Linked DNA regions of Rattus norvegicus. The protein of the gene in region 1 purifies or fractionates together with the protein of each later gene. This does not show direct contact. Links are inferred from orthologs where the notes say so. Each region holds a gene or a part of one and is shown in the gene's direction. Other genes may lie near its edges.

Evidence for each region.
Region 2: the proteins of Cd9 (region 1) and Itga6 purify together in Homo sapiens (co-immunoprecipitation; 3 studies listed by BioGRID and IntAct, with this or other methods). This does not show direct contact. The link is inferred for Rattus norvegicus from reciprocal best matches to the Homo sapiens genes CD9 and ITGA6.

The regions. Positions count from the first base shown.
Region 1 is NC_086022.1:159,972,462-159,976,985, reverse strand, and holds the start of Cd9 (CD9 antigen), read left to right. Parts: upstream 1-1,627; 5' UTR 1,628-1,688; coding exon 1,689-1,754; intron 1,755-4,524. UniProt on the Homo sapiens protein: Integral membrane protein associated with integrins, which regulates different processes, such as sperm-egg fusion, platelet activation and aggregation, and cell adhesion.
Region 2 is NC_086021.1:77,066,587-77,070,393, forward strand, and holds part of Itga6 (integrin alpha-6 precursor), read left to right. Parts: intron 1-728; coding exon 729-939; intron 940-1,697; coding exon 1,698-1,891; intron 1,892-2,027; coding exon 2,028-2,116; intron 2,117-3,131; coding exon 3,132-3,250; intron 3,251-3,807. UniProt on the Homo sapiens protein: Integrin alpha-6/beta-1 (ITGA6:ITGB1) is a receptor for laminin on platelets. Integrin alpha-6/beta-1 (ITGA6:ITGB1) is present in oocytes and is involved in sperm-egg fusion.

The DNA.
Region 1 (4,524 bases):
CTAAAAGGGAAGATCAGTGGCCTCTCCTCAGAGCTCTCAGAGACTCCTAAGTTGACCATACACACACTCCAAGTCTCCTGCCTGTCTCCTTCTCCCAGCTCCTAAGCTGCATCAGGGAGAAATCAGATAGAATCTGTTGCTTTCGACTCCTGTCCCCAGTGAAGAACCTTTCTAAAGTAGACTGTAGGGGAAAATGTTTTTAATTTTTGGATTGATTAATGAATCAGTCTACTTACTGATACATAGTGAAGTCGGTCTACTGATAAATAGTAAAAAAAAAAAAAAAAGAAAGAAAGAAAGAAAAAGAAAAAAGAGCCATGCTATGCTAACAGAGGCTGGGTTTGCTACGTGAAAAAATGTCTTGTTTTTATTTTTCATTTTTGGAGACAGGGTCTCCTGTAGCATTGGCCCCCAACGTACTTTAACCCAGGAAAAAAAATCTAACTCACGTCCTTTTTGCTTCTTGGTGTTTTCTGATGTTTCTGTAATAAGTATGGTTTGCTTTTCCAATAAAGAATGCTAAGGAAACTTCCCACAGGGGTGAGGGAGAGGAAACGGAAAAGGACATGGCGAAGGGCCTCCTCCCTCAGTTGTGAAAATCAAGAAAGACTTTAAAGAGCCTCACAACAGGACATGGTGGTCCATGCCTGAAATGCTCTGGCAGGAGGACTGCAGTTGAGGATAGCCTTAGCTACTTAAGCTACTTAAGTAGGGTTACTATGGCTAGATCCCACTTCAAAAATAATGAAATCACTGGGCATATGGCACATGCCTATAATCCCAGTAGAGGCAGGCAGTAATGAGTTCGAGGCCAGTCTGGTTTACATAGGGAGTTCCAAGCCAGACAGGACATCATAGTAAGACTCTGTCTCAAAATAATAATACATTTAAATAAAAAATAAAGGGGGCAGGGAGGCCAACTACACACCCCTGCAGGCATTTAGGCAAAGTAGGAGTGTAGTACCAGGTGGGACAGGGAAAGAACGGGCGGGGTAAATACAGGATAAAGGATTTCAATCTCTGAACGTAGAAAGTTTTTGAGCAAGGAAGAACTGCTCAGGTTGGAACATTGAACATTCTAGCGGCCCCTACGCTCAAATAAGTACGTTCAGTCAGGAAAGGTTTACTTACAAGGAGGTGTCAGAGAGAACGCAAGCCAGGCAAACAGGGCCCGGCAGACTTGTCGCAGGAATCTGAAAAGGCTCTTTAGATTAGATGACCCTTGGGGGTCTCCCAACGTATGTTCCTACGCAGAGCCTAGAATGAACCAGCGTGACCTGGTAAAGGCGAGGCCAACACTTAACTCTCGCTAAAAGAAGACATGTCTGAAAGTCTGGAAAGACCCCGAGACGGTGGGAAGAAGGAAGATGGAGGGAAAGAAGATCTTAGGAACGGGACTACGGGAGGAAGAGTGCAGGGAGAGCTCTGCAGTGCGGAGGGAGCCGCACGCAGTCCCTGAACCTGGTCTGGGGAGGGGATTAAGTCATGGGCGGGGCAGGTGGGCGGGGGGCGGGGTCGGCATCCCTCGGCACATGCGCATCACAGCTGGCCGGGCGCCGTAAGGAGTGGCACTTTTTAAAAGTGGAGCCTCAGGCCAGCCCCTAGCCTCAGCGTGTCTCAGTCGGTTGTCGAGTTCCTTCGGTCCCGGTCGTGCGTGCCTCTTGTCCCACGCAAGTCCAGCTTGTACCATGCCGGTCAAAGGAGGTAGCAAGTGCATCAAATACCTGCTCTTTGGATTTAACTTCATCTTCTGGGTGAGTGAGAGGCAACTGTCGCGCGCTCCTCTCCGGGACCACCTGTTCTCAGGCCCGGGACGGCGTCCGGGGCGGTGAGTGTCCCGGCGGCCGAGAGCGCGAGGAGCTGCTGGTACTGTGCGCGCCAGGCGGACTCCGGGCGAGAAGAGAAAGGCGCGGCGGCTGCCAGCTGGCCGGGCGGGACTGGCAGGTGGGCGGGAGGGGCAGGTGGGTGGGAGAGCCGAGGATCCTCGTGGCCCGGGCTGTGCACTTCGCTCCCGGGTCCCTCTGACGCCGAGGATTTGAGATGGGGTCTGTGCCTGATCCCACCCGCAGAACCCCCGAGTGTGAGAGAGGAGGGAGGGAGGAACAGAGCACCCTTTCTCGAGTAACTGGATGCCCTCCCTGGCCCGCGAGGCCCCTGGCCAGCAGGGCAGTTGAGTGTCTCCCACTTCGGTGGTCCCACAAGTGGTAAGGGGCGTCACAAGGGAGAGGAAATAGGTGTGGAGAGTCTTCCCTGCATCTGGAGGACGGCCTTTCCTTGAGTTCTGAACGCTCAACTGAGAACGTCCTTGCCTCCCTCTAAGCTACCTGAAAGACTAGATTGTCTTGATTCTTTTTCAAGAGCGATAACTATCTTGGCTGGAGAGAACTCTGGAGAGTTAGTTAAAGGACGGCGGGGTGCCTATCGGCGCCTCTAGATGGGATAAGTCCGGTGTTTCTGCATTTCCCAGGTAATCAGGCACTGCGGGCTTGAAGCCTCGCCTCCTAAGAATGTCCAGGTGGGGCCACGGGGAACGGCTGTTCACCTGCAGAGGCCCCAGAGGCAGGTGCTAGTAAACTATGCAGATGAACCTCTGGGAAAAGCATCAGAGAGTTTCTCCAGAAACTAAGGGACAGAAGCAAGGAAACGCACGGAAAACCCTTTTGTCTTAGTTCTGGGAGGGCACACCGCCTACACACAAATGGACAGCATTTGCTCCGGTGCAAGAGTTTAACCAGGCAACTCCTGTGCCACCAGAGGCTTTCAACAACAACGAAAAAGTACACTATTCCCTTGGAGCTGGCCATCGGGATGCTTAACCTCTTCCAGCAATTGGGAGCTTTAATACTCCCCGGAGTTGCTTGGAAGTGTTGCCCAACCTGCAGAGACCGCCTTGGGTTTCTAAGAGCCACCACACCCATACAACTTAAGAGGATGTCGGAAGGCATTCCCTCCTGGCCTGTTTCCCCAGCTCTGCAGACAGGCAGCCCAGATCCCAGGCTTGGCTTGGCCCACTCATCTGCTTAAGCACCACAAAACAAAGTCTGAAGGCAGCTGGCCCCACCCAGCCCCGCCCTGTCCTCTGGGGAGTTTTCCTCACTCTCCCCAAGTAGTCGCTCCCCTGCTAGTCTGGGGTCAGTCCCCAGACGCCTGCCCGCAGAGATGTTTGAATGTTTGGTGCTGAAAGGAAACCACATATTGCCACAGCCTGCCTGCTTCCCCCATCTGCCCCATGGCATAGGCAAGGGGCAGAGGGGAGGTGCCCAGGGCCACCCTATGTCTTCTCAGTCTGTAGCCTGCTGGCCTGCAATCTGTCCAGCGTTGTCTCCTGCTGCCACTTCACTCCTATCCAGAGTCGTCGTCCCCCCCCACCCCCCATGAGGCACTGCTGGTTGACTGTGCCTCCTGAAGCAGAACAATCTCACCCTAGAAGGGTCTGGTTTGGGGGTTGGGAACTGGTTCAGAGATTGTGTACCAACTATAGGTGCTAGCCCTCGTGTCCACCGTGAGGAAACAGAGTGCCCAAGATCGAAAGCAGAGTTAGTACTCTGACCTCTGGGCACCTTGTTTTCCTTCTTTACTCTCCTGTCTCTCTTACCATTAGGGAGGTGGGCAGTTTACTAAGTTAATTATTGTTACCTGTCCTACCCTGGGCTCTAATGGTGACAGTCATGTTACAACCTCTGTTAAGTATTTTACAGCCTCCAAAGGCTCCCCCCCAGCTCCATGATAATGCCAGAGAAAGAAGAGTTATCCCATTTGCCTATTGGTGACCAGAAACCTTGCCTGTGGAAGGTTAAGTGCTATAGGCAGGGTCAAGTGACAGGGTATTTACCAAGTGAGGTGGTAAGCTGGGTTTGGCTTTCAGGCAGGAGTAAAAGAAGGCTGAGGCAAAACTCCTCAAAATATCTTTTATGACAGGCGGTGATCTCGGCGGACCCTTGGGATTATTATGTCACCTCTTCAGTCTCTTGAGACTGGTGATTTATGAACTTGACATTTGGTACCTGGTGTGGGCTCTGAAAAGCAGGGGCCACCTTTGCCCGCAGAGGATGCTGAGGGGCTGGGTGGCGGGAATCCAAAGAGAAGCCAGCGTTTCTTAGTTGTAGTGGGGCAGTGGAGGAGAAGGGAGGACCGGAAAAGGGTAATCAGCCTCTCTCCTGGGCCTGAGCATGTCCCCTGTGGGCTGCTCCATGACAGCTGAGCCTGCCCAGCCTGCCTTTCTGAAGTTGGGTGTCTCTTGCCCACAGCCAAGCCAGCAATCAGTCTGTTTTTCCAACATCCTCAGAGCCAGACCTTGCAAAGCTATTTTGGTTGTTCCCAAATTGCCCTCAGATCTCTCTGTGTCTATCCCTCCACTCCCTCCAGAAAAGAAAGAAAAGAACTGAGGAAGAAAACATCATTCTGATGTCTAGTGCCTGAATGGCAGGTGACAGGAGTGTTCCAGGCCGTGATGTGGTGGCCAGCCGTGAGCCAGGCCAGGAATGTGCTGTTTCCCGTTCATTCGTTCGTTCATTTGTTTGTGGC
Region 2 (3,807 bases), on another chromosome or scaffold:
CTGACTTGGTCCAAAGTAATGAGATGCTACCTATTATGTGTTAGCAGTGTTAGCATTTGCTCTTGCCTGATTACCAACTAGACAGAAAAGTATAGATGCTGTTCATGTAAATCACTGGTCAACGAAGAACCCTGTAACGTACTGAGCATATGACGTAGCATTCCCAGGGGACTTCAGTATCTGGCTTTCTCTTTCTTTGTCATAGTTTTAATATCAAAATAGGATTTGAATTGATTTTTTAAAGAGTTTTTTTACTCTTTCTTAGTCTATGTATTTATTTCTTTTATGTGAGTCCACTGTCGCTGTCTTCAGACACAGCAGAAGAGGGCATCAGATCCCATTACTGATGGTTGTGAGCCACCATGTGGTTGCTGGGAATTGAACTCAGGACCTCTGGAAGAGCAGTCAGTGCTCTTGACCCCTGAGCCATCTCTCCAGCCTCTTGAATTGATTCTTAAGATGGTTGAATAGTTCACAATTCAAGCTATACAAGTGCTAAATAGCGTAAAACTTTTTTAAAAGTCTTCATATCTATAGAAAGCAGTAAAAGTGCTATAGCACTTTGCTTTTGACCTGTCAAGTCCTTTAGCACTGTGACCCCTGTAGTAAATGTAGATGTAGATGGGAGATTGTGTGGAGAGGTGTGTGGGGATCCAGAGGGAAACATTATTTACCACATTGGTATCCTCCTAATGTTCAGGGTTGATATGAGTCTATTGTTTTTCTAGGCTTTTCTCTGGACTCAGGGAAGGGTATTGTTTCTAAAGATGACATCACTTTTGTATCTGGTGCTCCAAGAGCCAATCACAGTGGGGCTGTAGTTTTGCTAAAAAGAGACATGAAGTCAGCACATCTTCTCCTTGAGTATATATTTGATGGTGAAGGCCTGGCTTCTTCGTTTGGCTATGACGTGGCGGTGGTGGACCTCAATGCAGATGGGTAAGCGGATCTTTGTTACTATGTCCAGCTAATGTTGCTGGTGACTGGCTTCTAGAGAAGGACTGTGGATTAGTTGGTTAAAAAAAAAATGCCTTACTATCCTGTCCAGTCTTCATCATTGATTGACAGCTGACATTCATCCCCCCCACCCCCACCCTTGTGACACAGAATAATGACCTTTTAAAAATTACACTTTCACCTGAGTTCACTTGGGGAATCATAGTTTCTTTTTTTTTTTTCTTTTTTCTTTTTTTCGGAGCTGGGGACTGAACCCAGGGGCGCTCTACCACTGAGCTAAATCCCCAACCCCAAGTTTCTTAAAGATTTAAATTTGGAGAAGAAATCACTTAGGGAATCAGCATCAGCTACGTGACAGTCTGTGGTTTCTTATGGGGAAGGGGGCAGCTGTCGAGCATCCCAAGTGTCTCACAGAAAGTTGGAAGTGGTGACCGTCACTGCCTAGAGGACTCCTAGTTCTTGAGGCCAGCTGGAAATGGTAATGGAATGGCAGATCCTTTCTGGAAGTGCTCCTGTACTGTGCCTCTGACTCGAGGGACTACCTTTAAATCGCTACCCTCACCATTTCCTTGGCCTATCACAGATCTTCTGTTCAGTATTTTGATTGATGACACGCGAGTCCCTGATTGGAGGCCCTCTCTGTTGTGCTGTGTTCCTTGGAGCCTATATTGGTAGTAATTTCCCTATGCCTTTTGGCACCTTAGCAGTGGTCCCTAGCTCTCCCCTTTGCTGTGTTTTAGGTGGCAAGACATCGTTATCGGAGCGCCACAGTACTTTGACAGGGATGGCGAAGTCGGGGGTGCGGTGTACGTCTACATTAACCAGCAAGGCAGATGGAGTAATGTGAAGCCAGTTCGTCTAAATGGGACCAAAGACTCGATGTTTGGAATCGCAGTGAAAAATATCGGCGATATTAATCAAGATGGCTATCCGGGTGGGTGATAGGTTATGAAGTGGTTACCATTCGTAGAAAGTGGGTGGGTGTGCCTAATGAGCACTCACAGCATCTTACTTTAAGATGCTGGAGTATTTTTTTAAATAATAACTTGTTTTTAATGTAATGTCAATAGATATTGCTGTTGGAGCTCCCTATGACGATCTGGGGAAGGTTTTTATCTATCATGGATCCCCGACTGGCATAATTACCAAGCCAACACAGGTAACCAGATGACCTCTTTAAAATAGTGTCAGCCTTTTGCCTGTATGTAGCTTTAGGTAACTCTTCAGACACATTTCAGTTTCAAGTATTCAATAGTGTGAATTTAAAAATAATATTTATTTATTTTACTTCTAATTATGTGTATGAGAGAGAGGAGGGAAGGGAGAGGGGGAGAAGGGAAGAGGGGAGAGATGGGTAATGGGAGGGAATACTCAGGAGGTTGGGGGTGTCAGATCCCCTGGAACTAGAGCTGCAGGTGGTTGTGAACCTCCTGGTGGTGGTGGGGAAGGCGGGGAAGAATAATACTGGGGTCCTCTGTCCTCTGGATGGACAGTCTGTGCTCTTAACCACTGAGCCATCCCTCAAGCCTGGCGTCAACTGCACAGTATCCCTGGAAGAAGGCTCTGACACACTCACACAGAGGCAGTGACCTGCTTGTTTTAAAAGGTCTCAGCTAAGTTAGGAAATCAGGGTAACCCGGAGTGAAGACCGTTCGACCCAGAGATCGGGAGGAGGTGACCTGTACTGCTTCCCTTAGCAGTGTGCTTGAACAGGATTGAAACAGGATTGAAACAAATAGAACATCGTAATTACACAGAGAATTCAGACCCCAAGGGTTCTAACTTGTTCTGAAAATACGACTGGAGGGGGCAGTTAGAGTTGGTTTTAAACTACACTGATTAACTTAATAAACAAACCAGGCTTTTATCCTTTGGAATACTGGGTGACTCAGATGGCTTTGGTGAAACAAATCACATGGATCTGTACACCTACAACGTAATATAATAATTATGTTCATCAGCTTTTGTTCTAAATGAACTTTATCTTGTTCTCTCTCTGTTTTCTTTGTTACTACTGGTGGTGACAGGGACCCCAGTCCCCGCTCTGTCCGTCCTGGGGAAGTGCTGTACCGCGGAGCTGCCTCCCTGGCGCCTTTGTGTTTTTCTCTCAGCTGTAGCCAGGCAGCTCAGTTAGTGGCCCAGCGTTCATTCTAATGCCTGTGCATGCGTTCCAGGTTCTTGAGGGTACAACGCCTTTCTTCGGCTACTCAATCGCTGGGAACATGGACCTGGACAGGAATTCCTACCCTGACGTTGCTGTGGGTTCCCTCTCAGACTCAGTAACTATTTTCAGGTGTGTGCTGCCGTTGACTTTGGTTAAACAAGCTTCAAAATGATCTTACTCTGTTGTTTTTGTTTATTCATTTTTACCTATTTATCGAGGCAAAGGCTTGTATAAATTTGAAGGTTTTTTTTTTTTTTGGACGGGATATAACAGTAAATGATAAAAATTATGTAATTTCTTGCTAATACTGAACTGATTTGGAGTAAAAATGTGTTGGAATTAATGGAAAGTGTTGCTTCCTAAATATATCTTTAAAACCTTTCTTCGAGTCTCGGGGATATGACTCTGGCTTCAAGTCACTTGCCTGGCACTGCTGGGCAGGCATAGCAGCCCCTCCTGTAATTCCAGCCCTGGAACGGATTCCTGGAACTAGCTGGCTAGTAGTTCTAGCCTTTAGGTAGCTCTAGGTTTAATTGAAAGTGTAATCAAGGAATCTCTGGGTTACTCTGAGTCCACACTGAGCAGGTGTCGAGCTGTAGGAAGCCTTGGGTAGGGAAGTGCAGTCCGAGGACTGGACACAGCCAGAGCTGATGTGGTGGGTCCCCACAAGGAGTCTGGGGTGGTCG